Linked DNA regions of Lepisosteus oculatus. The protein of the gene in region 1 purifies or fractionates together with the protein of each later gene. This does not show direct contact. Links are inferred from orthologs where the notes say so. Each region holds a gene or a part of one and is shown in the gene's direction. Other genes may lie near its edges.

The links.
Region 2: the proteins of stk25a (region 1) and proline and serine-rich protein 2 purify together in Homo sapiens (affinity purification with mass spectrometry; 3 studies listed by BioGRID and IntAct, counting the BioPlex papers as one, with this or other methods). This does not show direct contact. The link is inferred for Lepisosteus oculatus from reciprocal best matches to the Homo sapiens genes STK25 and PROSER2.
Region 3: the proteins of stk25a (region 1) and cab39 purify together in Homo sapiens (co-immunoprecipitation; 3 studies listed by BioGRID and IntAct, counting the BioPlex papers as one, with this or other methods). This does not show direct contact. The link is inferred for Lepisosteus oculatus from reciprocal best matches to the Homo sapiens genes STK25 and CAB39.
Region 4: the proteins of stk25a (region 1) and sike1 purify together in Homo sapiens (affinity purification with mass spectrometry; 4 studies listed by BioGRID and IntAct, with this or other methods). This does not show direct contact. The link is inferred for Lepisosteus oculatus from reciprocal best matches to the Homo sapiens genes STK25 and SIKE1.

What each region holds. Positions count from the first base shown.
Region 1 is NC_090708.1:12,399,796-12,407,500, reverse strand, and holds the start of stk25a (serine/threonine-protein kinase 25a), read left to right. Parts: upstream 1-4,684; 5' UTR 4,685-5,075; coding exon 5,076-5,114; intron 5,115-7,705. UniProt on the Homo sapiens protein: Oxidant stress-activated serine/threonine kinase that may play a role in the response to environmental stress.
Region 2 is NC_090702.1:41,896,229-41,904,143, reverse strand, and holds the start of proline and serine-rich protein 2, read left to right. Parts: upstream 1-4,900; 5' UTR 4,901-5,760; intron 5,761-6,504; exon of another isoform or gene 6,505-6,612; intron 6,613-7,872; 5' UTR 7,873-7,915. Other genes in the region: echdc3 (enoyl-CoA hydratase domain-containing protein 3, mitochondrial), read left to right, coding at 1-292.
Region 3 is NC_090708.1:8,180,984-8,187,817, forward strand, and holds the start of cab39 (calcium-binding protein 39), read left to right. Parts: upstream 1-3,819; 5' UTR 3,820-4,053; intron 4,054-4,172; exon of another isoform or gene 4,173-4,242; intron 4,243-6,834. UniProt on the Homo sapiens protein: Component of a complex that binds and activates STK11/LKB1. In the complex, required to stabilize the interaction between CAB39/MO25 (CAB39/MO25alpha or CAB39L/MO25beta) and STK11/LKB1.
Region 4 is NC_090700.1:32,285,893-32,293,065, forward strand, and holds the start of sike1 (suppressor of IKBKE 1), read left to right. Parts: upstream 1-4,153; 5' UTR 4,154-4,178; intron 4,179-7,173.

The sequences.
Region 1 (7,705 bases):
CCTGGTTCCTATCTATCTCTTCCACAATAAATTGTGACCACCAGGCTCTTTCCTTACAGTTACCAGTTACAAGAAAAACAAATTAAAAAGCACTTTGCATGACCCTTGGGGTGTAGGAAAATTTCTACAGAAAATTAAATTCCATCTTTTTTGTGGATGCTCATCAAATTGTATCCTTAGTCATCTCACTTTAGGGAAAAGAGCTGCAACAAATTTCCTTGGAAGAGCTTTTAAATGCTTCCAATGAACTATGATCCCGAAGTTGGTTAAAGCATGTTCTTTCCATGCTTGAGTGAAACCACATGTATTTCCAGCTCTTCATGAACTCTTGTTTTGCCCCGCGGTTCTGAATACACATTTTCCTGCCTTTCTTGTTTGTCACAAATCGTACTTTGTGAAATTCTGTAGAACTGCCTGTTGTTGTTTTGACAAACAAAAGTGTTGACACATTTTGCCAGCAAAAAGGGAGTGTTAGGAAACTGCCTGTTCAGCAGATTTTTTCTGCTTTACTCTTTGGATATTTGGCAATGAGTTCCCTGAAAAGTGTTTTTCCATGAGTGTGGTTATATTCTTTCCAGAAAAATGAATGTGCTTGACAAAGAAATTCTTAGAAACAACATGAGGCAATACATGTTATAAACCTCTTTAACGCTCACTACCTTAAAACCAGAGTAAAGCAAAAATCACAAAGATGACTGTTAATTATGAGAAGGTATTACTCAAACTATGGGGAAATCCAAGTAATAAATATTCAACAGTCCAGGCATTAAGTTATTCTAAATCCCAACAGACAGAGGAAACTACAATTCCAGACACTGGTCTCCAGCTAGCGTCTGTTAGATTTTCATCTATGTTTATTTATGTCTTCGGTATGAGTGCTGGATGTTATACAGCAGCAAAATGAAATAGGAAGAACACAAATTTGAAAAAACTAGCCCAGGTCTGAAACAGGTAACACAAGCAGAGGATTCAGTTCAAGGGCAGGAGGGTGATGTTATGTTGCTGTTTAATATTTTACAACCTTATCAGACTCAGCCTACTTGGTTTTTGACACTTTTGTCTAAAGGTCTTGGCCACCTCACTTCACCCAGTTACAGGTTTTTAGGACTGCATCATGAAAACACAGAGAGCAATCCTTCCTCCCTGTAATCACAGTCTAGAAGGTGATTGCTGTGTCTAGATGGCTAGATGTGTGCAATGCATTTCTGCGAAAATGCAAACAGTCTATTAGAAACTGGAACAAGTGCCAGCCTCACATACTGTAGGAAACTGTTTACATTGGTTTATGAAGAAGAGATGCAACAGCCTCTTGCTCACTGAGCACTGCTACATAGGAAAGCCTTTTGGCTCTAAAATAAGCCTAGTTTGTTGTTTGCTCTTGGAAAGATATTTTAGAACTTGAAAAAGTTACAAATTCAGCCCATCCAGCCCATTTGGCACTAGTTAATTGATTCAGGCTCATTCAGCCATTTCTTGAAAGAAACGGGGTATTGGCTTCAACAGCATGGCTGAGTGGCTTGTTCCACACTCCTGCAACACTTTGTGTAAAGAAGTGCATCCTGTTCTCTTGTTATAAACGCACTTCCACATAGTGTCCGCGGAAGCCCCCTTAATTCCAATTTTAAAACTTAGTTAAATTCTAGGGGCAGTCTCCACAGCACTCTATTATGTAGTTTTATAACAAGAAATAAAGTAAACAATTGACTTAATGGTGTGACTATGTAGTCTAACTTGCAAATTATCTCATACCATTCAACGTGTTGAATATGGTATTGATATCCCGCCCCCGTTTACCTGGGAAATAGACGACTCTCCTTTACAGGCCTCCACTCCCCATCCCCAACGCCGGGAGCATTTTACCTGGAACCAGCGCCCTGTCTGCGCTTGTAGAAAGAGCGCCGTGCAGCTTGCCAGAGCAGTTTGCGGGGGACGCGGGTGTGGAGAGAAGTTGCGTCAGTGCGAAAAGGGCCCGGAGACAGGAATGTCTTTTTCTTACAGTCTTTCAAAAACCGTGCACACGCGCGCGCACACACACACACAAAAGTTTCTGTTACACAATTGGAGGTGTGCGCTTTTTTTTCTTTCCCATGACGTACATATGATACGGAACACGATATTTGACTTATTATTATTCTCAAGAGCGCGGCAGGAATTGAGCAAAAGAAGAGCATCAGAAAGAAAGGTTTTAAACAACAGACGGCCGCTCGGCCCATATTGACCATTCGGTAGCTAGCGGCTAATTCGAGCGTCTCACCCTTGAATGTTTTTGCACAATACCAGGCCATCGACTTCCAGCCTAGCTGGGTAACCTGTTCCACGCTCACACAACCCCCTTGGGCGAAGACTTGCCTCATGTTCCCAGCTTTAAATGGTCTCATCCCTGAGATTTCCATCTGTGTCCTTTGGGTTGTGTTTGACTGTCGGCTCTGAAAAAAATCCTCTGGGTGATCTTTATCGGTGCCTTTGAGGATTTTGAATACTTGCGTCAGGTTCCCCCGTAATCTCTGTTCAAGGCTAAAGAGGGTTCTGGTCTTTCATCCTGTGGTGAGCGTACTGGGGCGCTATGGCTGCCGTCGCATCATCCAGGTGGGGCTGCAGATTGGTAGTGGTGGAGGGGAATCCCCATTACCTGTAAGGCGCTTTTGGGTAGAGTGTCCAGAAAAGCGCAAGGAAATATTATTATAATTATCATCCTGTCAGTTGTAATTGTAGTTTTGCAGAGACTTTTTGGTTCAATCACTAAAGTTGCAGTAACAGTTATTTTTTGTTTTGCACGTTATTTTGACTGAATATGTTATTCTCTTTAAAAATAAACCTAAAAAGAATAATTTACATGATTTTTTGAAGACTCCGAAATTGCGTATTCAAAATCTCTGCTCTGTAGTGATGTGCTGCCACCTAGCGGTCACATTAAGAAATTTGATCCCTCGATCGAGCAATTAAAAACGGGATTAAACGGAATCATGTTTATTGGTAATATCTAGTGATGCATCGTTCTTCCTTTTCTCTAGACTGGGGTTCCTTTCGAAACACGTGTTGGTCACAACGAATCAGTACAACAACGCTTTGCTCTTTCGCTACACCTCTTCCATTTCTTTTTTAAAATGGATTTTTAAATTATTGCAGATCACTTCTACAATGTATATATAATCGTAATTTGATCTAGAGATGGAGCAATTTAAAACAAGACCCGCCCCAAACACACCAACATCGAGTAGACTTTCCTTGATAACTACATATAAAACAACATTGTGTTCATAAAGCTCTTTTTAGCCCCAAGAACTTTAAATACATGAACGAATTCCCCTCGTCCTTCACCGCAGGCGAAGAGAAGAAACTACTTCACCAGGTGAACTGAGAGGGGTGTTCAGTAATTCCAGGTTGTGTAGGTGGAAGTTATGCATCTTTAACCCTCCTCCTCCTATAAGCAGTGCTGTGGGATATTTAATAACCAAAAAAACAGGGTCATAGAACAGCATACTGTCAACACATATTTTTTCACCTTAGAAATATCGCAAGACTACGCCCTATGCTATCATTAACTGTGGCTGAAAAGCTGATCAACATATTTGTATTCTCTCTAATTGACTACTGCAATGCTCTACTCCCTGGGGTATCTAAATCTACTCTGAACAAGCTGCAGTATGTCCAAAATTCAGCAGCCAGAATCCTGACCAGGTCCAGTGCAAGTGTTCACATTACTCCTATCCTGGAGTCCTTGCACTGGCTTCCGGTCAAATTTCGCATAGACTTTAAAATCCTCATGCTCACCTATAAGGCTTTACATGGCTTGGCACCTCAATACCTGTCTGAACTTTTATCGCCCTACTCCCCACCTCGCAGCCTCCACTCTTCAAATTCTGCCCTCCTTACTGTCCCCCAAGCCCGTCTACATTGTATGGGCGACAGGGCCTTCTCCTGCTATGCCCCCAAGCTCTGGAACTCTTTGCACAAGGATATTAGAGAGTCACCTTCTCTAAACTCCTTCAAATCCAGACTCAAAACCTTCTTCTTCAGAAAAGCCTTTACTTAACTGGTTCCATTCTTCACTCCTCTGCTCTTCTTAATACCACCTTCCACGGTCTCCTCCATTGTTATTGTTGTATTGCTGTAATTATAATTGTGTCCTATCTTGTGAAATCTTCTTATTTATTGTTGTAGTCTTCTTATTTATTGTTATTGTCATCCTGTAAAGCGTTTTGAGAAGCCACCTTTAAAGGCGCTATATAAAATAAAGTTTATTATTATTATAGTCGCATCTTAACGATAGCAACTTCTACAGCATATAGCGCCACCTACTGATCTACCAACGCTACATGCACCAGCTACCTGCTTGTCTGTTGGTTGTGTCTGGTCACAGTATTAAGGGCAGGAAAGAAACAACATTTCGGCTGAGACAAGATGACGAGATCAGGTTAGAAAGTGATAGGCAGCTTCTGCCAGAAAATAAACTACCAGAGTCCATTCAAATACAATCTAAAATTATTTATTCGTAAAACTAAACTTTTATTTCATGGAATGAGAAATTAATTAGACCTAATTTACTTAAATATACAGAATACGCTTTCTCCACTGCATGATAATGCTACTATAAAAATCTCGTCACTTGAAACGCACAGAGCCTTGGGAGTTGCTGTCCAATTTGCTGGAGGGAAAGAACTACTATTCCCACAATGCTCTGCGCACACACAGGAGGGACTCACGCGTGCGCAGCTTGTTGTGTCCCTCTCAAGCAGTAAATGAGGAGCTGGGAGAGTCTCTTTTTGTATAAGAATTAAATATTAATACACAAAGTCGAAATTCTTCTTTACACTTGCCAGTCTGAGACATGGAGTCACTCATGGCATAACCTGTTCTCGCGGAGTAGCGAGTGGGCGAACCGAAGCCGAAAACAGCTCGGAGTGACAGAACGGGGAGGCTGTTTGTGCAGTGGGGTCTCAGAGGAGGAGGAGGAGGAGGAGGAAGAAGCAGAAAAAAAATATCGGAGGAAAAAAATTAAACATCTGCCCCCACCACCCCCTATCCGAGGAGGCCAGGGCCGCGGCTGCCCTCACCCTGACCACCCTACCGCCAGGATGGCTCACCTCCGGGACCTGCGGGACCTGCGGAACCAGGTGAGCTCGGCTGGGGCGAGGGGGGCTCCGCTCCTCGCCGGGACCCTCGGCGGGAGCCGTGCAGGTAGAAGGCAGAAAGGCGTGTGTGCATCTGCTACCTGCCATTCCTCAGCGCACTCATTGCTCCTGCCGCATTCCTAAGGCGGATAAGGCTGCAGGTATTAACGCTCGCTCCGCGTCCCGTCATCCGCAGCCCTCTAGGTGATGTAGATTATTCCCCAGCTGTGCCTCCTGCTATCTTCGGCTGCCCACAGAGCACGCCAGGGGAAAGCCGTCTTGGACAGGTGTCCTGAAGCTAGCACGTCGCTTGTTCTCGGTTTGTAAGTTTTAGTTGTCGCATTTTTTAAATTGTCCAACGTGACTCTTTCTGACCCCCCCGTTATGCTTTCTGATAAGGAGCATCACCAGTTCTCAGCACTGACAGGGCAAGAGATTAGTTTCAGCTGTTGTGCTGAAATGCAGGATTCCCGATCAGGCAGTGTCCATCTATATTGGTCTTGTATCTAAACTACATCTAAAAAAACCCAGGTGGCGGTAGAGATGACTGACATAATTACCTATGTTATTTGTCTCGCTATGTGGTACATATGCAAGAGGCTGGGGTATGTTTGGTACACATACAGTGTATGACCGTACTGTAGTAAGTTATGGTTTATAGGCTTAGTGGCTGATTTTAAGTCTAAGCAACTTTCCGTAATATGTTCTGCTCTTTTCATGTTCTTGTATTTATTATTAGTCTCTTGACTGATTGCCACAGAGAAAAAAATGTCTGAAAATATACTGAAACAACAGAAAGTATTGTCACAGACTTTTCTGAAGTGTACTACTGCACTGCTAATGTGGTTCAGTATAATGTCACCCCTTTTAACTACTGCAGATAATCACACAGGGCTCCCAACTGATAAAAAAAGAGAAAAAACTTCAATACATACAGTACATGAGCTGCACTTCTAAATGAGAAAACATTTGCAATGGCTGCCCTAAAAATACATTTATAAAGCAGATTTATACTTGCTAAAATCAGCGGATTCAGTGAATGTAGATGCACCAGCCCGCACATGTAAAATATGACCTGACATGACCCTAGAGCATGCACCAGAGAAGAGGTTCACAGTATTATACAAGAACAAGTAATAGGTTTATTCATCATGCTGAAAGGTGAAGAAAGAAAACAACGTTTCGGCCGTGGAGTCTTCTTCGGGTGTAGACACCTGAAGAAGGCTCCGCGGCTGAAACGTTGTGTTTTCTTTCTTCTCTTTTCAGCACGGAATAAACCTATTACTTGTTCCTTTGCAACCTACGCATGCTGACGCAGCTGCCCACCTGAACTATCACTGTATTAGATTTGAGATTCACCCAACAAGGACACTGGCAGCCACAGTCAGATATTAATAAGAAATGGGTTTGAACATACTGGTTTGGATGTGCGGGAAATAAAGGTAGTGTATTGCACCACAGTGCTTGTCCGTTGGTTTTTTAAGCTTTCAGCTGTGCATTTCTCCTGCTGAGTAAGCAGCCCTAGGCCTGTCCCTGAAGCAGAGGGAGCATGGCTGGACTGTGCTCTTTATGGGATGCCATTACATCACAGGGCACAACTCGTGCACACTGACAGCTTCCACACAGCAGTCAACCTCGCTGGTATGTTTCTGGGAGGAAACCGGGGCACACAACGAAAACCCACAAAGATGCCAGGGGTAAACGTGCAAACTCCACACATAAAGCCTCCCCCTACCAGAATTGAACCCAGGTGAACAAGACCCCTGAGACAGCCGGGCCACTGCGCCTCTCAGTTCTCCATTTCCTCTGCTAATGCTCTGGAATCAAAATACATGAATCGGATGCTAATAAAACTCTGCTGATCTGCCTGTGGCTTTGACAAGCAAGCGTATATCTAAATGCTGGAAACTTCTCTCTCGTGAAATCTAAAGTGAAGAACAGGGAAAAAAATTCTCCAGTAATTGATACAGGTTGCCTGCAGGGATTGTCAATTTTTTGTCCAGTGTACCCCAGAGAGCAGTGCTAGAAGCACCGTAATTGAAAAGAAATTAATTTAAAGTCAAGCATTTTGAGTTCTTTTTGCTTTCTCAAGCAGACGTGTGTCTGAAAAGAAGTGCCCTGTGTTTTAAAAGTGAAGTAGCAGCACTTTTCCCTAGTCTCGATTAAAAAAGGGGTAAAGGTCACCAATGTCATCTTTTCTCGAGTTTTGGAGCTAGCGAACCAGCTGTGTGTTTTCTGTAATTTCAGTATTTAAAAAACATGTAATTTTACATTTGCCATTTGTATTATTGTTCCACTCAGTAATGGACATCTGCTTCCCCACTTTTAAGCACTGCTTTTATGGCTTATTCAGGGTCAGCATCATTTTAAAGTTTGTTGTGTTTTTTTATGAATTTCTTTTTTGAAGTGTCAATATTTTTTATTGAAGAGGCTCCGAAGAGCCTGTAAATGAAGCCCTCTGGTTGTGCGGTTCTGATTAGATAGGGCTCATAGAAACAAAGGCCCTGGTTACAGCCGAAAGGGCAGCTGTCCAGACTCTGCAGTGCTGGACTGGTTGAAGTTGGGGATGGAGGGGAAGCTATGACATCAGGCTA
Region 2 (7,915 bases), on another chromosome or scaffold:
CCAGGACGCCCTGCTTCACGGACTGGTCAGTAAGGTGGTCCCAGCAGAGAAGCTAGACGAGGAAACGCTGGCCATCGCCCGCAAAGTCTGTGCCGCCAGCAGGCCGGTCGTCGCTCTGGGGAAGCAGACTTTCTACAGACAGATGGCCCAGGATCGCAGTGCTGCCTATGCTACTGCTTCTAGGGTTATGGTGGACAACCTGGCTTTGAGAGATGGGCAGGAGGGCATTAAGGCTTTTATTGAGAAGCGCCGGCCTGAGTGGACACACAGCAGAGACCGGGCCCACGAGTGACATCCCACACCCATTCACTGCTCTGTGGGTCTTCTTGCTACTGCTGCATAAAGGCTAAGCCGTTTTTTTTTTGTTTATGCCAAATATTCTAAAGCACAGAGCAGAAAACAAAATCCTACAATGAAGGCAAATTGCAAAAAAAAAGAAGGAATTCTTTCGATAATCAGTCTTGTTTCTTTTTGCAGGTCATTTTTTTTTCTGTTGGCCAGACTTGATGTGTACAGAATGAACAAAAATAAAATATTAAATCAGATGCTGCCCTGGTGGTGGGGCAATTCATGCTACTGCCTTTCAGCTTTTTGGGTCTGAGGCTCATTTCCAATCTGGTGTGCAGTCTCTGTGGAGTTTGCATTTTCATGAGTGTTCTTACCTCCCAGAGCCGCACTGGCTCAGTTACTTGGTGCTGCTATATTGGCCCTGCAATTGCCATCTCATCCAGTGCCAAGCCAATCCTGCCTTCTGCCCTGTGTTTGCTAGGTTAGGATCTGGCTTGTTTTGACTCTCTAGGATGAAACAACAGTGGACGATGAAAGAATGTGTGGAAATCCTCCAGCAGGCACATGTAGAGTACTTTTTATTAAAAGAGTAGTGCACTTTTATCCAAAATACAACACTAACAATTCCTCCGAAATTGAATTGGTCAAGGAACGTCAGTAAAGAGGTGTTGGAAGATTAGACGAAGCTGCTTCAGTACTGACGTACTGATTTTTTTAAAGTGAAAATTCTTACCTAATGTTGCCTGTATTCATCTAAGGCTTTGGTTAGGATACTACTATCAGTGGGGAGGAGAGCAGAGTGACGAAGCCAGTTCATAGATGGAGATTATTAGGAGGCCATGATTGGGTAAAAGGCCAGTGGGAAATATGGCTAGGACCTTACTCTTTTCGAGAAACACCCTGGGATTTTTAATGACCACAGAGAGTCAGGACCTTGGCTTTATGTCTCATCTGAAGAACAGTGCCTTTTAACAGTATAGTACCCCCGTCACTATACAGGGGCAGGGTGAGAAACACCTCTGGTCCCAGTAACTTCTCTTCCAGCAGCACCCTTGACTTTCCCAGGAGGTCTCCCATCCAGGTACTGACCAGCCTCATACCTGCTTAACGTCAGTAGGATGCCAGTTGTGAGTTGCACTGCTATAAAAACAAAGTGGCAGTGCGATACTTATTTTAAAAACAACATCTGAGTAGTTGTTTTCAATGAGATTAGGGTGAGACAAATCCTAAAGACAGATAAATGACCTTAACTACAAGTCACAACTAACAGAAACTGTAATCATTTTTACCACTGAAGGTGCATTCTTATAAATAGTTCTGGAACTGCTAATTTGTGTGTTACTTGTACAGTTGTGGGTGTGGGTGTACAATTAGCAGTAGTCCTTTATTGCTTATTGCCAGGGTGAGTAGTGGTTCTCTGCCTTAGAACTGGAGTACCCCTGTGTGGTCTGCTTTTCATTCCTACTAAGCTCTTAATCACTGAGGCTGATTGATCCCTGTAATTGAGCTTCTTGCTTCAACAGACGTTTGGAAGCTATTTCTGTACTTTAGTCATATGTTTCAAAATTAATATTCTGCTGCAGGTACAGTTTTGAGAAGAAACGCAACAAGCAGAATTCAATCCGTTCCATCCTCAACTTGCTTATGAAGTGACTGCTGCCTTATTTCTGCCTAATTCAGTCTTAATAGGTGGCCAATTCATGATGGATAAACACAAGCCGGAATGACTTGATCAAGATTATATGCCAGCTGTTCTGTATTAGCTTCATTACTTGCATTCCGCACACCTCAATTATGGTAGTTATTAACCTCATGTGACTTTTTAAAAGCTTAAAGTAAAGTCTGGATGAAACATGGATCAATTAGTCCATTGCCTAAAAGCTCAGCTGGAGTAAAACCTGTAGGCACAGGAGTAGACCAAGACCGGAGCTGTGAAGAGCCGCTTTTTCACAGAGGGGAGTGCCTGTACTAAGAGTCAGATGTACATTTAGGTATAAAATGGTGCAGTATGTGAATAATTTCAGGACCGTTTTTGGAAACTTGTTTTCATTTTCAGTTTTAATGTGCATTAGTTATTTTCTCATGTTGGAGAAATGTGTGTGAATGGCCTCGTCATTTTTCCAATCATTTGTTATTGTAATGTTCGAACTGCAGTGAACACCATTAATACATTGTTGAAAGCTGAACTAAAGCCTGATTTTGGTCACCTCTTGGTCTAGATGTGACAGCGGGGTTTAGGATGCTTGTTATTGAAACAAAGTAAAAGGTAGAACAAGATATGACCACATGGTGGAGCTGTGGCTTAGGTCAGTGGAGATTTTGCAGTTTATATCAGATGAGAAAAATTAATAAACAGTATTTGTAAATCGAAGTTAAAAGCATAAGAAATGTTACTGATGAAGTGATGCTTAATTCTTGCCTAGCATTTTTGCTTATTAGTAGATAATTCATCTGAAAATTTCACCAAGCTGAGTACTGAAAGAAGCAAGTATCTGTTTCAACAACGTGGCTGGGTAGTGTGTTCCAGATTGTCACAGTCTTTTGTGTAAAAAAGTACCTCCTGTTCCCAGTTTTAATTGCGCGATCATGTAGTTTCCATGTGTCCTCTGGTTCATGTTTCACAGTTGGTTCTGCCAAATTGTATTGGGCTGACATTGTCAGTGCCTTGGGATGGTTAATAAAGTCACATCTCATTGTAGTGTTCTCTGTTCAAGTCTAAAAAGGATCACTTCTTTTAGTCTGTTAATGTAGGGCATTTGTTTGAGCCCAGAAATTTATCTGGTTGCTGTTTTCTGGACTGATTCCAGAATGAACTTTTTTGTAATTTGGTGACCAAAATGGTACATAAAATTCATATTACAGTAAGAATCCAGGTTATTTGGGTTCGTACTAGTGCTTTGTGAAATGTATACTTGGCACTTGTGTGGATTAAATGTCACCTGCCAGTTGGGCAGGACTGTCCAATCTTTGATTTTGTCTATAGGTCTTTCAGAATTCCTTTGCAGTTTTTACAGTGTTTGCTAGTCCTTCTATATGGGGTCATCTAGTCAACACAAGTATGCAGTTTTAATGATAATGATGTGAAAACAAAAGTTGTTTATCTTCCATTCTGTGTTTTAACTTGGAAGTTAATTTATCCAGTTGATCTGTTAAATTTAATTTGCTGTTAGGGTAAAAGGGATTTTTTTTTTTCAAATTAAATGTTGTCACATGATGTAGTTAAAAACATTTGTATAGAGAAGCAACACCTAAAAGTGAGGGAAAATAATCTTTAGGATAGAAAATTTGTTTCATATCAAATTCAGTAGGATATGTTTATTCTTCCATTGTAGTTAATGGTGAGAGGAAACAAAAAAAATCAGTAGTGTCTAAAATAGTGACTGTGTACTATACAAAACATCAAAGCTCCATCTTATTTATCAGGTACGAGACTTAAATTTATTTCAATTACTGTACTAACACCTGACCTGCGCAACATTAGGGTTGCTGTTGTCAAAAAGGTAAATAGGGATGATGACCTGTTGAGTATTCTGCTACGTGTATTTCGAAGTGAAAAGATTTTTCACAATTGTTTATTCTTGTTCTGAGTTGAGAGGATGAAAACGGGCCTCAGTGACGAGCTTCTGGCTGAGGTGATAACTTTGCTTTTAAATGTTTTGACATATTCAGTCCTCTTTCTAATGAATACACGTTTGTATCATGCGCTGATATGTAACATCCATAATTTTGTAATATAGTTTTTATCATTTGCTTTTTCCTACCCACACCTGAACTTTGTTTTCGTTTGTAATATCTCTTTGGTCCCAGTCAGAACCCGAGACTGGAAATCTGCTTCCAATTTCAGAACCCATTTCCAGTTCTGCCAGCAACGTGTGTAGAAACCAGACCAAAGTTTTATGCGCTGCAGATTACGAAATCGTCAGTCTTATCCCCACAAACCTGTGGGCTGCACTGTTCCTTCCAGCTTTATTACTTTTAAACTAATTTGTACTTAACATTTAAAGACCAATGTGCGGTGGATTAAATGCATGTGTAAATAAAGGAAAAGTCCTACATGCCCACAACTTTATTTATACTATTTAAACTCATTACCACGAGATAGCAACCGAGAAAACCCATAATACAACCGTCTAGTACATTAAGTCACTAAAACTACAACAAGATTTGATCTTTTTCATTAACCTCCTGTAGATATTTACTCTATCATTCATCTGTGGCTTCCTAGAGGAAACCTCGCATTCCTTTATCATGATGTTGTACAGACACACATATTTCTTCATATATCACATGTTCACGAAAAACCTGCTTCTTCTGTGTATAAGGATGTAAGGCAGAACTACGAAAAGATATGTCCGGTTCTAATCTCTGTATTACAGGATCAAAACTGGTTAGTACGGAAAATAACATCCTTATTACGCATACCCTTGACGTGACGTTTGGATATTGTTTCACGTACACTGCGCCTCTTTTTTTATTTTGCCTCTTTATACTGCATGTATCCTGCATTCTGAAATACTGTAATACGGCTTAAAACATTATTTTTAAAAGGCATTGAAAAGTATAATGTATTACTATTCAAAGCATTTCCCCGACACTTCTTCCAGATTGAATGTTAACACGAATATACACGTCTAATGTGGTTCTAAATATCAGAGATCGCAATAATTATATCTCTCCGATGCTCTAGTGTTCTTAAAAAGCTGTTTTGCCAGCTTCCTTCTGCCGTGTCAGATGGTAATCAAGAGCGAGTGTCACATGATCGGAATGCAGGTGCGACATAGTAACAATTCTTCTTCCAACATTCTTCTCAGGACTGAGGCAGGCTGAACAGGACTGGGGACGTGCAGAGGCGCTTGTTCTGACTGGTCCCCATAAATCAAGTCAGAACCTGTTCGACCACTGCTGAAGAAAAAATTAGCTCGGTCAGCGCTACAATACATACTGTACAAGACAGCGAGCTATACACCTGTTACGGCACTTTGTTTAAGCGATTTTTAAAGACATTTCGGCGAGCGTGAATAACTCAAGCTACAAGACATTACCAAAAGGGGATTTGTTCCTGTAATGGTCAACAGAGTGCACTGCCCCTCAGGCTAGCCATGTGCAGCTCTGGAGCTACCTCAGGAGGAGATACGGCGATGTGAGGATGCCCCCGGGCTGCAATGGTCGAGGCACCTGTGGCTTTAAGGATCAAGCGCTGCAATGTTTGCAAGAGGAAGAGCCAATGTAGGGCCGTGCGCTTGCGCCGTGGAGTAGAAATGAGAGGCTTTGGTTTCTCTGGAGTTAGTTACTGAAACAGTTTTGTACTGTAAAGGTGGGGCGATGGGTCTCCACACCACAACCCAGTAGGATGTTGATTTCAAGGAAACAGATCTGTAGTATCGGCAATAGCTAACGAGCTATTAAATTATTCTCCTAAAAAACTCCCGACTGTCTTGAAGTGTGAACCACCCAGTTTCCACACAAGAAAAGGTGAGTTACCTATTTTGCTCAACGATATTCTTTAACTGTGCAGCACATTAAGAGCACATCATTGAGTTTTAAAATATCCCAGTGTCATTGGTTTTTTGTTACAGTGTTAACACCACCTTAAAAACAGTATGAATTGCTTATAACCAATTTGGAATTCTTGGTATATGTTCATACCGTTATATAAAATACAGCTATCATATTTATTTATTCGTTTATGTTTATAATGTAAATCTGTTTAAAGTTTAATTCCTGTTGAAAGTAAAATACGTCATACAAATGCGTTCACATATTTGAATGATCCTGTAGATAAAAATGTTTTTTTATTATTATAATTATTGTGTTTAGAGGTGGTTGACCTACATACCTTACTCTGTTGTTTTTTAGTTGTCAAACTAGTCTAGCAACTTTACGGGTCTTTTTCATGGTGATGTCAGAGCTTTTGCTTTACAGTCATCCCAACGCCCAATGTTCGCAAACAGCATCTGTTTTTTTTTTTAAAAAACTCCTTAGAATCCACAATTAGAGTAACTATGTACAGCTAGTCCCATGACAAACCTTTTGGAGATGGGTGGCGTTTTGTGTTCCTCTGAGAGGTGGCTTGGCAGGTGGCTGTAAAAGAATAGTCTCCTTACGCAAACCCAGATCCCCGCGGGGAGAGCATATACAAGCTGTTTGAACTGTACCGTCTGCACTTCCCGGCTAAATTATCTTGAGTGTTTGTACTACATGTGGAAATACGGTCTAATTCCAACATCGCAGAACCCAGACGGGGTTTCTATCTGGTGCGCTCTGTTGTAAGCGTTGTCTGATGCGGATTCATTAACCATTTTACATCACCTCCTCAGTTTCAAGGTAAAGGGAAAAACTCTTAACCCTAGAGGTTTGTCCTAGCAACGACACCGTGAGGGAACCCGTATTAGCAACCGCAGAAATCATTAACTACTTAATTTACTAAATATTTATGGGAATACTCTGCCGAGTGAGACGTTTGTTGTGTAAACACAGTTCTTGAAGCGTTGGGAGCGAAATGACACATTTTGTTTTTAAAGTGAAAAGAATGTCAAACTCGAGAGCGTAGGTCGAGCTAGGTCTGTTGCGATCCCACACCTATAATGTACTGGGAGGTGGAAGCAGTTTCCTGCTTCAAATGCTCGTTTTAAAGATGCAATTGTAGTGTCTTACATTTTCAATCAATCTACCACCCTGAAAGCATTGTATTCACAGTAATAACAAGCTTATGTATCTGTAATACTTGAGCACTTCTTCCTGTTGGCTGAGGCACGGAAAGGAGGAGTAAAGTTTCTTCCTCCAGGTCAATTAGCCTAAAGCTTCCGAATGTGTCTTTTCACAGTATTTTCCCATTCATTTTGATTTTTCTTAAAAGGGGCCCGTAAAGCCCACAATCTTATTGCTTTTTGGTCTAAATCGTTTGCTTTTTCAACAGGAAGTATAAGGATATATACTGTATCTGTAGTAGTTCAGGTGGGGAGCTGCGTCAGCGTGCGTAGGCTGTAAAGGAACATGTAATAGGTTTATTCCATGCTGAAAAAAAAAGAAGAAAGAAAACACGACGTTTCGGCCGTGGAGCCTTCTTGAAGAAGGCTCCACAGCCGAAACGTCGTGTTGATTTGACGTCGTGTTTAATTTAACCGGGGATGGCCGGGAGTGGAGCAATTGCGCAATGTACTTCGTCTTATTTAAGGGCACAACCGCAGTCTCCACACCTGGCACACCTGGTATTGGCACCTGACCCTCCCAGAGTCCTAACTGCTTGCTCACTGCCACTGCTTATAAATAAAATTAATGACATCCTGAACCTCATTACCTCTAATGTGAGGTCAGAAACATTTGATATGCTGTTGATAACTGTCTCTGCTTGTGGGTAGGTAGCATAAAAATGATTTCGTTTTGATTCTATGGTTTTCGCTTGACATAAGATTTCCATAGCTGTTGAAAACAGGTTTCTGTCAGATTGTGCCTGCTGCTGTGCTGTGTGTACAGAGCAGGAGTTTATTCTGCGAGAAGCTTCCTGATTTAGTTCTTAGAAGAAGAAGAAGAAGGAGTATAAATAAAACAAGATTAAGTCATATGTGTGTATTGTTTCTGTTTCAGTGTGGGCTGTATGGGAAGACATACTGAGACAATGGGGCTGGTG
Region 3 (6,834 bases), about 4.2 Mb from region 1:
TTCATACCTACGAATTCGCTTGGGAATGGCGGAGCAACAATGTGCCTCTCCGCCCACCGTTTCTTTCAGATCCGTGCCCTGTCCACCTCTGGGTTACTAATCGGGTTGGACGTAATCGTCACGCTGTTGTTTTTTCCTGTCTTGCCGACTCTAGGTTCAGTTTCAGTTAATTAATCCCTGACATGGTAAACACAGTTCAGGGCGATGCGCTGTACCGTGGCGCTGACGGCGAGTCAGGAGGTCCGCGCTGAGGCAGTGGGGGGAGAGAAACTGCACAGGCGGTTCGGGGAAGATGATCTAGACATGAATTTCTAGACTAAAAGCTAAGAAATATGTGTATTTGTTGTTTCAATGTGTCCATGGATGTGCACTGTATGGTAGAGGGAGAAAAAGAAATACGTTTTTGTTTTCCAAAAAAATATTACGTTTACAAATATGTTGAGCATGATATAAAAATGTTGTCTAGTGAAATTGATAAAATTGTAATTTCAAAATCGTAATGCATCGTTACTGTTCAGTCTATTACATGAATACTTTCTCATTTAAAAATTCAAAGACTGGGAAAATGTTAACTTAGTCGCTGAACCCACAGAAATTACTGTATATTTCAGGGATGGCCATCTCCTGTCCTCAAAATTCAACAGATTTTACAGGTCTCCGTCTCCAGTTTCTTAAGAACAAGGAACGGCTTCACATTGTCCGATGAGGGAAATAATGAGTTCATCGAGGCCATTAAGAGTTTAGGCAGAAACAAATCCAGAAGCTTTTTGGTCTTTCAAAACTTGTGCACCTCTGGGGTACCTGGTTCACATATAGCAGGGCTCTAGTACCCTGAACCTGTGGAGGCCCAAATTCAGCAAATTTTATATGTCAGCATTAAACTACCAATATCTAAAGAGTTGAAACTCTGAGATTAATTAAAAAGGTGTTTTTATATATTGCGGAATCTCTAATTTATTTGACACAAACTATGAGTTCCCTTCAGTCCTGTGATCTCTTAGCTAAATGGATCACTTGCTGAATTCATCATGTTGTTCTCAATTTTTAGAAACAGGTGGTCTCCTGACCGATCATTCCAAACTATGACTCATAATAAATTCAATTGTAATGATTCTGTTGGATTACAATTATCGCCCAAATATTATTGGATATTTGGAATTATAATGGATTCCAAATATACTGAAAATGTCTTCAAACAGTGTATAAAACTGTTAGGTTACTTTACTCAGATCACACATCATATAAAACTCAAATACCATACGTTAAACGCACACATTATAAAAAAAAAGAATTAAACATTAAAGATAGGCCCAGTTCCTTTACTGCTTCTATGCTCCCTTTTCAATAAGATAAATTCAGAGTTCGAGCGCCATCTTGTGTGTAGACACGGCATTGTAGTTGAACAAAATAGTGGTCAGTGGTGATTTTTGGGACAATTAAGTCCCAATATTAGTGCTAGTCCAAGGCCTAACTCTACATTTAAACCTAACTCTAACTATAGCCCCAAAAAATCCCACAAACCCACAATGAAAGCCCTGATATGAACCAAGCTGAGTCTAGATGAGGCAACAGTGAATCTCTGAGCTAACCCAGAAGCTGGTATGCAGGGGAGAAGGAGTACTGTAGAGCCCACTGTAGAGTCAACCTGCTCAGAGCTAACACTCACCCTCAGAGCCCCAGAAATTACAACTGGGCAATTTTCTCAAGGAAATTAAGTGATTCTTTCTGAAAACCTAATGCCAAATCTATCTTTTTCCTTAACCCTTAGTCTAGTTTTAGCTTTCTGGGGAACCTCAGTCATGACCATAAGCTAAACCCTTACCACAGCTTTAACCCTACCTAAAACCCTAGAAGTAGACACAGCCAAAGCACCTATCCAAGGTTAAGTCGTAACTCTAGTGTTAGTTCTATTTGGAATCTTTACTCTGGTAATTAAGATTGTATAAATTACACATTATATACTTACATTATATACACCTTAACTGCTAATGTGAAAAAAAATATTTCAAGGCAGAAGAATTTAAATTTATTGCTGGCCAACCACAAGATTTAAAATATTTTTTTCCCAGATACTGTAAATCAATAGAGGCTCACTGACATGGTCAAATGCTATCAGATCCAGTGATCTGCCTGGCTTATTCTTCTCCATCTCTGCATTGTATGGGTATTAGAACCAAGGCAGCAGCAGCCTAGAGAAAGCTGATGTACTTTGCAGAAGATAAATGGTTCCACAGGCCACCAGCTTCAGGTTTTCACTGGCCTTCCCCTTTCTGACACACAAACTAGCTTTCACGTGGCCCAAAGAAGACATATCAGGGCTCCACCACTATTCGATTCAATTCAGTTCACTTCAAGGTGCTTTATTAGCATGACCGATGGGTACAATCAGTGTTGCCAAAGCACATAATACAATTACTGTGAAACAAAATAAAAATAAAATAAAATCTACAGACATATTACAGACATTAAACAACAAATGACATATCAGAAAATATTTACATAAACTGTAAACATATTGAGCATTATTGGGAGACAGGCCCTCTGTTTCTCGGGCTTCTGAGAGGTGTGAAATGTTGGAGTTGTCTGACTAGATGCCACATTCCTGAAGGCCAGGGCACCTGATAGCATCTGTGCTGTCCCACACAGTTTGTGACTTTGTGACTTTGTGATTAAAGGGGGGTGGGGTTTTATATCTCACTGCTCTTCTAATTGTACCTTGTTCCTGTGAATAACACCATTTGTAGCTACTCTTCATGTTTTGCTACTGGTCTTTACAGCTCTACCGATCCACTCTGTTGGCTTAATGTACACAAGGTATATGTGGCTGTCCCCATACTTCTCTGAAACTGAAATCATCACCTAGTTAAAAATTCACATGGGAATACAGAATCCGTTAAAAATGTCCCATTGGCCTAAAGTAATTTTCCCTCTCTTGTCAGCCACCTTATCATGGTGGTTTATTTAACTACACAAAGTTTCTTTGGCCTGTGATATTTCTCATTTCTAGCTGGTTGTATGCTAATTACTTGACTGTAGGGCCTCATTTGCTTCTCATACAATATAGTTCTGTCATGTCTCTTTACATACTGTATACTGTATGTAACATGGTTCGATTAACTCTTGTTTGGGAATACGCCGATAGGGTAAAAAAAAAAAACTATCGTTGATCATTGGTTTTGTTGTGCTTGTTCTCTAAAAATACATTTCCACCCCAATCCCGTTCTGTCTGGTCTTGCTGTACGGAATAAAGTACAAAAGCCTTGGGAAGTGACGTATCTTAAGTTTCCTATGAAAAACAAAAATGCAAAAAAAATTTAAACAAATGTATTAAACGTATGAAGAATTTACAAATACAACCAGAGGATCAGAAACAGGTACAAGAGAAAAAAACACAAACAGAAAAAAAAAACAATGAACTGCCGGAGGTAAAGTAAATTATGTGATCAAATGGTATTTTTTACATATATCAAATGTTTTCTTGCTTCAGCCTTTTTTATCGAATTTAGTGTTTCAACTCCACCTCAAAAGTACTAAAAAGGGGAGTATTATTAGACCGTTTTGATTTATGAATGTGAAATTCACCCAGAATGACCAATACATTTACTGTACATAAATGCTCTTTTTCGAAATTTCCTATTAAACAGTTCAATAAAATATCGAAATCCTCAACTGCCTGCAAACAATAAAGGTTTGCTGGACTGGGTCATACTGGCATTCGTAGTACTCGAGGAATGAGGAAACATTTCGACTAGAGACTGGCGGCGCAGACCCCACGGTGGCTGCGCAGTGTTGTTGCTATGACACTGGCGGGCGGGCGATGGCAGCAGAGAGCGGCCTTTTCGGTATCACAGCGGAAATAGAAACAGCACTGCACTGAGAATTCGCACAGTTACATCCAGCTGCAGGGAGAACTAGGAAATAAACTAAAAGTATAATCACGGAGGGGCAGTAAATTAAGGAAAACCGGGCGGTATCAACCCCTGCCATTCTCCTCACTTGCTTCTGCGATTCCAAAACACTCGGAGACCAAGGAAGACGGGTCGTGTTTGCAAGGTTTGTTGCAGAGTAATATTTACTATCTCATGCAAACAGCGAAGTTTTTTCCCCTCTCTCTCTCTCTCTCGTCTTGCAGGCCTGTCAGTGTGCTCTTTTAGGCGAGAAAAGAGGAAAATTGTGTGGTGTAAAAAGAAAAACAGCGCAGCGGGTCTATGTCCGTGAGTCCTCACTTTGGAGAATAAACTGGTTTGTGTTCGCATCATTTAGATGGAAAAAGTAACAGTCTGTAGTTGTGCTGTCTTTGTGCGGAGATTTAAACAAGCAGAGCATTTTTTTTTCTTAAGGCCCGGTTGCTTGAGGCCTGCTGGTCAGATTGGATCCAGCACACGGTGCAGTGTGCACTGCTGGGACTTTCCTGTGTTGTGATTGATGTATTCATATAAGTTAACGATTCTGGGCGATGCAATACCAAATGGCTGTTTTTCTTACAGTTGCGAATTTGCAAATCAGCTGTTGGAGTGAAATAAACCACAGCAAACCGATAACAGAGTATCAGCTACTGCTGTTTAGAGACGACTGTCACATCTTGTCTCCAATTTCTGTTTTGTGTGTTTTTTTTTTTCCTGCTAGGGTGCAACAACTTAGCGTTGAAGGTGTATATTTCTGTTTTTCCCTAAAATGACTACCGAGCACGATTGGTAAGCCTGGTACATACTGCGCACATGCAGCACATAGCTCCTTCATTACCTATGTAGCCTTCGTATGTATTCATTTCCTTTAGTGTTTTTTATTTATTATATGCGTACGTGGTCATCTTTTGATTACCACCTTCCGCTGTGATTTGTAATTGTCTAGGGCTGGACGAAAACTCAGTGCCATATTTGTCAAATTACCTGCCACCGTCTGAAAACTGAACGCGTAACATATTGCTTTTGAGCTTGAAGTTGAGGTTGTGCAACGCTATGAAGCAAAAGGGTGTAACAGGCAAGGAAAATGTAGCGATCTGCGTAAACCAAACACTCGTGGTTCAAAGTTCAGGCCGTGGTGTAGGAATAATTGGTTTAGCAAGCTAAATTCGACTTTCTGTCCGTCTTGCCTATTGGTAGCAGTAAATGAGGTGCCGTATGTTTTGTATTCAAAGGCAAAATGAAGTCATGCTATTTATACAACGTGGAATGTCGTTTAAACGATTAAAATAAATGGTGTGTCATTTTAGACATCCTGCTTTCAAGTCTTATCTAAATACCACTCTAGAACGAAAACCTATCAAGGCTTGATTTTAATGAGCTTATGTGGTACAGTCATTTGAAATGCATATAACAAAGATTAATGTGTTATCTTATTGAAGCAGTCATTAGTCTTTCTATTTGTTTATGCCATTTCCATAACTTGTTCCTGTATGATTTTGTGCTACACTTGAAATGTAATTGTGGTTGTCCCCCTTTACATATTATAGAGTGACTAATTGAGCTCAATGATAAGAGGTTTCTTGTTGTTCTGCTGTTGTGGTATTTATGGGTTTAATAACCTTTGAGCAAAACCACACTTATAATTATTCCGTTTTGTAAATGTCAGCTCATACAAAAATAACAAAATGCACAGAACTTGTAAACTAAAATGGGAGCTCGTATAGCTTTTGACTCAAGACATTTTTGATTGTGTTGACTGAGGCGTTGAAGCAGAAGAGATTATCTTGAAATAAATGACCTCCATCTGTAAGGATAAAGGCAAAATATCCAGTGAGAGATTTGATGTTATAACAGATTAATTTGTTGAAATAGAAGACCAAAGTGATTACATTATGCCATATGTATGACCAACATCCTGTCACACGCCTATAGATTGTACACATTAAGCCTAAGCTTTTTATGTAAAAGAAGCCAAGCTAGCTGTGTATACATTCAGAAATATGATGCAAAAATGTTGTATTGGGTATTAATCTAAAGATAATTGGACCTTTATGAAGTACACAGGAATGATGCTGCACACATTTGTGGATGCTTTATATTTTGCTAAGGCACTGTGATTATAATCATGAGCATTAGTTATACTTTTCTATTTGCTATTAGATGTTATAGAGGAATCGCATCTTTTCAATAGATAAAAACATGTCACAAGAGTTCCTTTAAATACGAACATTACAAATGGTAAAAATAAAATGAAGCCCATATAAGTTAAATGCTCAGTTAATATCAAGGTTGTCAACCTTGATATACAACTGTCCAGCAGGTCTTATGGGTCATCCTTATATCAGCTGTTTCTAAATGCTTGGAATAATTGTGCTGGCCACTTAAGCAGGTGATTTATTTAATTAAGTAATTTGCAGATCTGTTAAACACTACTGGGTGTTGCTATTTTGAGTTCCACAGTTGGCCATTCCTGGTTTAATTGTCTCAACATTTTTACAGTAGGAATGTACAATTCTGTGTGTACTGACTTTCAGCATATAGTTGGAGGCTACAGTAAAGAAGTGGTCTTGTGCATTTTGGAAAACCAGTCTCTATCACCACCTCTGTGAAACTTGCATGACATGATTCAGCTTGTGTATAAGCATGCAAAAATTTAGTTAAAATAGCCACTGGACCTATCATGAGTTTATCTTTTAAGCAGTTTTGTTTTGCTAGCCTAAAAATGGTATGTTATTTTTCCAAAACACAACTTAATTCTAATTGCTGCCTGTCCTTATCCAGAAAATAGCCTCATTATAATGCTCATAGTAATATGTTTTAAAGCAGGACCTGTAGGGGTTCAGTGAAAACAATGGAGAATCAATTCGCAGCTACAGAATGCCTTTTGGGTGCTGAATTGATTGTTGTTTATCTTTAACTTCATACAGCT
Region 4 (7,173 bases), on another chromosome or scaffold:
GGTAGGCTCGTTGTGACCCTGAATTGGAAGAATTGGATATAAAATGGATAGATGTCTGGATATACATATACAAAGAAGATTGAAAGATACAAGATCAGTCTAAACAATCGCTTGCGAGCTCAGAAAAGGAAGCTGTGGAAAGTGAGACCAGCTTGGAAACACAAAATCTGGGGCACTTTTAAGTGAAAGTTTGTGGCTGCCTGAAACAAACTACCCAACAACACTGTGGAAGATGATTCACTGGGAGTCTTTAAGAAAAGGCTATTGAAATTGTGAAACAATTACTTTAAGAATGCAAGAAAGGTTGTAAAGGAGAGGCAGCTATTCATTCCAATAGCGCATTAGGTGCTAGTAGTTAATTGATCTCAGCCAACCACTTCTTCACAGAGGTTTAGGGTATCAGCTTTATCACATTATTGGGATAACTCGTTCCAGGCTCCCACAGCCCTAGGTGTAAATGAAATCCCTCCAGTTCTCAGTCTTCAATGCACTTTCCTGTACTTAAGCCACTTGTTAGAAACCAAATGAGCAAGTTGAACTGAATTGTCATTCCTCTTTTTGGTAAAGTTTCAGAAGACTGCCGACGTGAACTAACAACTGGTACTGAAAATGTTTTAAAGATACACAGCAATGGAAAAGGTCTTTTCCTCAGCAGGGAAGGTGTGAAGTATCAGATATAAACAATTTTAAGAGCTACTAATATCGTCTTCTTTGTAGTTAAATTTAAACAAATAAGCACATAATAAGCATTAGTGAACCACTGGGATCAAACAGCCAAATCACTAAAATGATTTGTAGATGTTATTATTTGTTTTCCACAGTTTTTTCCCAGTGTGTCAAAGTCAAAGTTTATGGCTTATGGCTGTGTTTTTCAAAAAACAACATTACTTAAGTGTTTCCTGTTTGCTTTCCTTTTTAATCATTTTGCAGTCTGCACAACAGACTGACCAAGATCTGCACCTCTGTAAATCAGCTAGTGACCTACACAAAGACACCCCATGAAGTGTTTCAGTACCATTGAATCCAGACTTATACAAGTACCATTGTGGACTACAGCGGCACAAATGAAGAGCTGTTTATTTTACGGATATTTTATTAGGCTCCAGGAAGGTTTTTCTGTTTTATTTATAAATAACAGAAGCTAATGAAAGTTCAATGAATTGCAGCTTATGACACAGCACAAACTTTGAGTGTACATAGAAAAACAGTGATCTTGCTATTATAAGTAGTAGTTTTAATATATAAAACAGTAGAAACATTTGCATAAGTCGCAACAGAGTGCTAGAATCAGCTGTAGTATTAGGAGTGTAAGTATAATATTAGTGGCGGTAGCATTTAAAGGAATATTTTATTCACTTTAGGACAGTGCCACATGTATCTGACACCAAAATAAACTGATATATCACCTTCTAAACTACTTGGTGATCATCCCTACAGCACATTTTAATTTGTTAACTTCAGCAGGTGTGACAGAGTTGTCCTTGTCTGGGAAAGGTCCTCTGTCTGGTACTATGTTATTGGCTACCACTGTGAGTAATAGGGTGGTCTGTCCGTACTAAGTACTGCTACATTACAGGAACATAAAATATGTTGACAGTCACTGAAAACGCATGAGTACTATCCTGTATATTTAAAGTAGTATAGCTAAAAAAACACTTTCACAGACATCACAATGTTTGTAGCTGGGGTGTTTTTTGTAAATACGACTTATTTGTGTATACCCTGACCTGATCTGTCCTGAGTATGTGATATTTTTGGAATAACTGAAAGGCGGGGATAACCTTATCAGTATCAGTCATTGTGCCATGTGTGGAAATATTAAGTTCTAATGCATATGCAATGGTTGCTTGTACACACTCAGTCATGACAATAACAGAGAGTGACTGGAGCTGTACTCAGGCTATAAAACGTCCTGCAAAACCGCTTGGATTCAGAGCACTACAGGGGCAGAGGTGAGGGATACACCTTGTGTGTCTTCTTGGGTGTTCTCCGGTAATTGCCTTTTTTGTAACAAATTAAAACTTGTTTCAAACCTTCACTGGGCTATGTTTTCACTTCTGGCATCTTCTAAATTGGTCCTTAGCAAAGTCAACAAATTTTGGTTATTTAGAGCCATACATACATTTCTGTACACTGCAGAATATCCATTCGTAAGGTAATACAAAACTCCTCTCCTGAGATTCAGTGCGAATCAATGACCGCAGGTCAGAGAAACTCTCAATCTTCTCAGCATTGCTGTGTAACCTATATAGAGACACTCTCTGAATTGGAAGCTGTGAAAACAATAAAGGTGTTTCCAAGTCAGAACCTCAGTAATGTAACCTGGCTCAGACTTCCATTCCGTTTCTTGTTTTATGTGCAAGACTGCTATCCTATCATAAAAGCTAGTATTATTTATTTCTGACCTGCTCAGGAAAACAGCAACAGGAGTTGAAAATTCCATTTGTTAAGACATGAAGAAAGCCCTGATACATCTATCAATAGTCCCATACCCTCAGAATGTTTTCATGTGCTAAATTATTTAATACTTTAACACTTATTAAAGTGTTTTTAGAAATGTTAACAGCTGGTTTGTGAATAATTTATCTGGTGTCATTAATAACACCTAAAATGTAACGGAAACATTTTCAGAAACGTGATTTGGTAATGTGAGAAAGAATCCCTGTCAACGTTCCAGTTATTTTTTATATTAAATATCTTAAATGGCTATTTCTGTGAGTTAATCAGGACAAATTTAAAGGTAAAAGGCTGAACAGAAGATCTTCTCCAACATCACTACAATTTCTTCTGTAATTGTTCTTCTCATTGTAATTTCTGACAATCAGAAATAGTCAAAACATGCATTTTAAAATCTACCTGATCATTTCTAAAGAAAACGTTTGCTCCTGTGTTTTTTTTCGGGGGGGGGGAGCTGTATAAACAAACTTTTCTGCAAGTGACCTAAACTTTTGTCTGACAACAGCAAGTGTGCCTTCAGGCAAAGCAGGGGCTGAAACATTAAATCATTGACAGTATCATCCCTCCATGTCGGCAGAAGGGAACAGTGAGGGCAGAAGTGTGTCTGTAGTCTGCCAAGAAAAGGAAACTCTTTCTGTATTTTTCTGTCCTCACTGGGAAATTCCTATCTCGGTTCACACTGGAAGTTTGTGGTTTTAGTGTCTATAGTTTTTTGATTCAGTGCCGTCCAGTTCTATCTCCTACAAATAACTTCAATAATTGTGGTTTTGAAATTTGCTAAAGAAGACATAATATGTTGTTGTTTTCCTGCTTCCAACAGTCTTCCCTCTCTGACCTTTGACACGCTCCATGGATTACCCTGTATCCTTTAAAACATTGGCAGATAAGTTGAAATCAGGACTATTCAACACAGTAAATTTGTTGCAAAACAATTAAAGGGTTTGAGGGGATCTGTTTCTGTGCATTCTGCTCTTAAAGCAGATAATTTGATTATATTACTAGCCACCTTACAGATGTTTTTGCTTTGAAAATTGCTCCAGTTTTTTCCAAAGCAAAATAAAAATACAAGTACAGACAATTCTTCAACCAACACTGCATTTAGGCGATATTTTTGAAACACCTTTCAGACATCCGAACTCTTCTATAGTCACAGGAAACCTCGTCAGATCTGTGCCTTTAAATATTTTTACAGTGACTTCCAGAAAATGGGGAGAAGTGATTTGATCTGGTTTAAAAGACCCCCTGCTGTGCTGTTGTATTAATTTTTAAATTAGAAAACAGCTTCATTTCCAAAATGCTTTGCACTTCACTCGCTTGTCTCCCGTGTCTGTCTTCTTTGATTATCCTTCATAAGAATACGCCGTTATGCTGTGTGGACATGCCAAATGTGTTTTAACATCTGCCATCATGCACTCGGAGCATTTCTGGAGTTATTTTTAAGAGTTTTACTCACTGCCACGCTCACTCGTAAAGGTTGCTGTCTGGCCACTCTCTGCTTCCTCGCTTCCCCCAGTTCTTCTTCTGTGGGACACTCTGTCTCTCTTGTGCGCTGTCTCTGCACTCAGCCACTGAGGCTCCAGACTGAGCACTGCTCTCTCTCCTCTCTCCCAAACACTCCCCCCACCCCCCACACAGCAGCACGGCACTGAAGAGGGGGGGTGCTCGGAGAGAACCCACTCTCCTCTGGACAGTGCCTGGGTACAGGAGCAAGTCTTTTTGAGGTAAGGGAGGGGGATACCAGTATTGATATTAAACACTTAGATTGAATGGTTTAATTATGTCACCAATGGGCTTAAGGGCTGAGGGGGGATTCATTTCTGTAGATTTAGGACAGAGGGGGGATTCCGTTAATTATTGTTGAACAACCATGTTATTGACTTCCTGATAACTATTGTTACATTTCTCCAGTAGAAAGAAAAAAGAAAGAAATATCCTCATTCTCTTCCTCAATTTGAACATGGTAGAAGGAAGATTTTGTTGCTGTATTGTTATGAGACAATGATATTTACAATAGATTCCAAAGTTTGTATGTATATATATTATTGTCATTTTCAGTTTAAGTGTTTTTGTCTCAAATGAATTGTTGTGATAGACTTGGAATTGATCCTGTAATGACTGCAATATCTATAGTATACCTAGTAAGTTGTGCATTTTACCTAAGTTTGTATCAACCCAGAGGCAAAAGATCTACTTTAAGTTGAGAGAAGGGGCAACTTCATGTTCCACACCAGGGAAAACATTTTCCTGTAATGTGTATTTCTTAATCCATTTAATTTGCATATAATAAATACATTTAGATCACCTTCTATCACAATTTCAATGTTAAAGGGGAACTGCTTTGTACATCATATTTCGGGGTTAGAAAAAATCAGTATTGATGAGTGCATTTCAAGCTGCAGTAAAAGTAAAATGTAAGCAGTAACTTGTAAAACCTCCAATTTACATCACAAAATTTGCCAGCAGCTACATCACCCCGCAACTAACAAATGTCAGCCCACTGAAGCTTAGCAGGTGTGAACCTGGCCAGTACCTGGATGGGAGACCAAGGTTGCAGTTGGAAGTGGTGTTAGTAGTGTTAGTGGAGCCAGTAGGGGGTGCTTACCCTGGGGTGTGGGTCCTAATGCCCCAGTTATAGTGATGAGGACACTATACTAGAAAAAGGCACCATGTTTTGGATGAGACGTAAAACGGAGGTCCTGACTCTCTGTGGTCATTAAAAATCCCAGACTTTTTCTTAAAAAGAGTAAGGGTGTACACTGGTATCCTGGCCAAATTTGTATCACGTCACAATTCTTGGGAACTCGAATGCAAGTTTGCAACAACGTGGTGACTTACAGTACTTTCAAAGAGTTCACAATTTTGTGCTTAATTTAACATTTGTAAAAAATTTTCTATAACGTAAGTGAATTTATTCTGTTACCAAGATTTAATAACCGGTCTGAGAAATTGGGACAGCAGTTCCCTTTTAATTTAGCTGTTCTCAGAATTGTAATGTTTCTAAAGCATATTCACAAGAGGCAAATTACCAATGATGGATAATAAGACAGCTATGGCACAAAATGTCAGTTGATGACTATAAACTGATGTGCAGTTTGTTGATTCTGGGTGATCAGAGCACACAGATTAACACAACAATAACACATAGCACGGGCATGAAGTTGCACAATGAAAAATTGTTGAATTATCAAGAAACACTTTATTTCTTCTCTACACTCATTTTATATCTTGAAGGCATTTAATTAGTACTGATGCACAATGAACATGGAACGGTTTTACTTCAGTATCTCATTGGAAACAAACATAAAGTTATTTACATTTTAAAAAGTGAGTACATAAGTTGTTTGAATAGTTCTTGGAGGGCAAAATATTGGAATCAAGCTATGTGATTTTATAAAAAAACAGGTGCTCAGTTTGCAATTTGGATCAAAATGAATTTAAGAATCTGTGTAAATGACTATTGTAAAAGGCAAGATTGTGATTAATGCTGCAACAGTGTAAGAGTCAACCATTTCCCACCTGAGACCTGAAGACCACGTGGTTGGTTTCAGTGTAACTGAAGGTGGCCTGACTGTGAGAGAAATGTTCCACTTCAACAATCAGTAGACTAGTCCAGAGAATCCAGAAAATTGGCTCTGTGAGGGACTGAATCACCTGTGAGGCAAAGGAATCACCGTACAGGCCCAGAACAATCTGACCCACCTGTTTGTTTTCAGACTGCAGTGGCTACAGTGTGAGGAATTCCAAAAACAATAGCCTGCTCATCTGCATAATAACTGGATCACCATGTTCTTGATGATCTGCATGCTAGCTGGTGACATCTAAGCTGGTTGTAGAATGGGAGAGATTAATTTGATTTTTCTCTTGATGGTCCTGACAGGAGACAACCTGGGTAAAGTTGTCATGGTTAGTATTATGGTAATTGTTGCACTGTTCTAGCCAGGCTGTGTAGTGGTAGAACTGTGATTATCTAGGGAGACATCTCCTTTAACTCAAGAACAGCTCTGAAGCAGATTGAGGGTTCTCTTACAGCTCAGAGAGCAGTTTCACTGACAAAGGCCATGAGCCAACAGCTTCTCCATTCCTGCAAGACACTCCAGAAGGGTCCATTTCCAGCAGGACAATGCGAGACCATGCAGTACTAGGATTACAATGACATGACTTCCAGAAAACAATGTTGCGGACTTGCAGAGGTCTTGCAGTAACCCGCTATTTCTCCTCATCTGAGTCCAATAGAACATCTGAGGGACCAAGTTGGCATTGCCATGAACAACAGACAACCTTCCCCAGCTGGCTGCATGCTGCACAGGAAAAGTGCTGAAACTTCCCACAGTATTAAAAACTTTTCATTGATTCATCTCGTGGTACTGTAGATCAACACAAGCATTTTACCAAGACTTTCTTTTAAGCTTTTTTTCCCCTTTGTTCTAATTTTCCCTTTCCCTTTCTCTAAAAACAAAACAAAATTAATGAAGTCCTTCAGAGCTCATCTCAACCAAAGACCAAGAGAAGTGGGGTTCACACATAAATGAACTTGCAGTACAGCAGTGACAGCTTTCGCACAAAGGATTTTCAAACAACATTTGTCATTCAAAACAGTTCAACAATATATTAAAAGAAGCTTTTGAGGTTTTACAGAAAAAAATATTATCAAAAATGCTTGATCGGATTACTTTATCAACTACTTCATTAAAAAGAATTCATAATAGAAATTCCTCT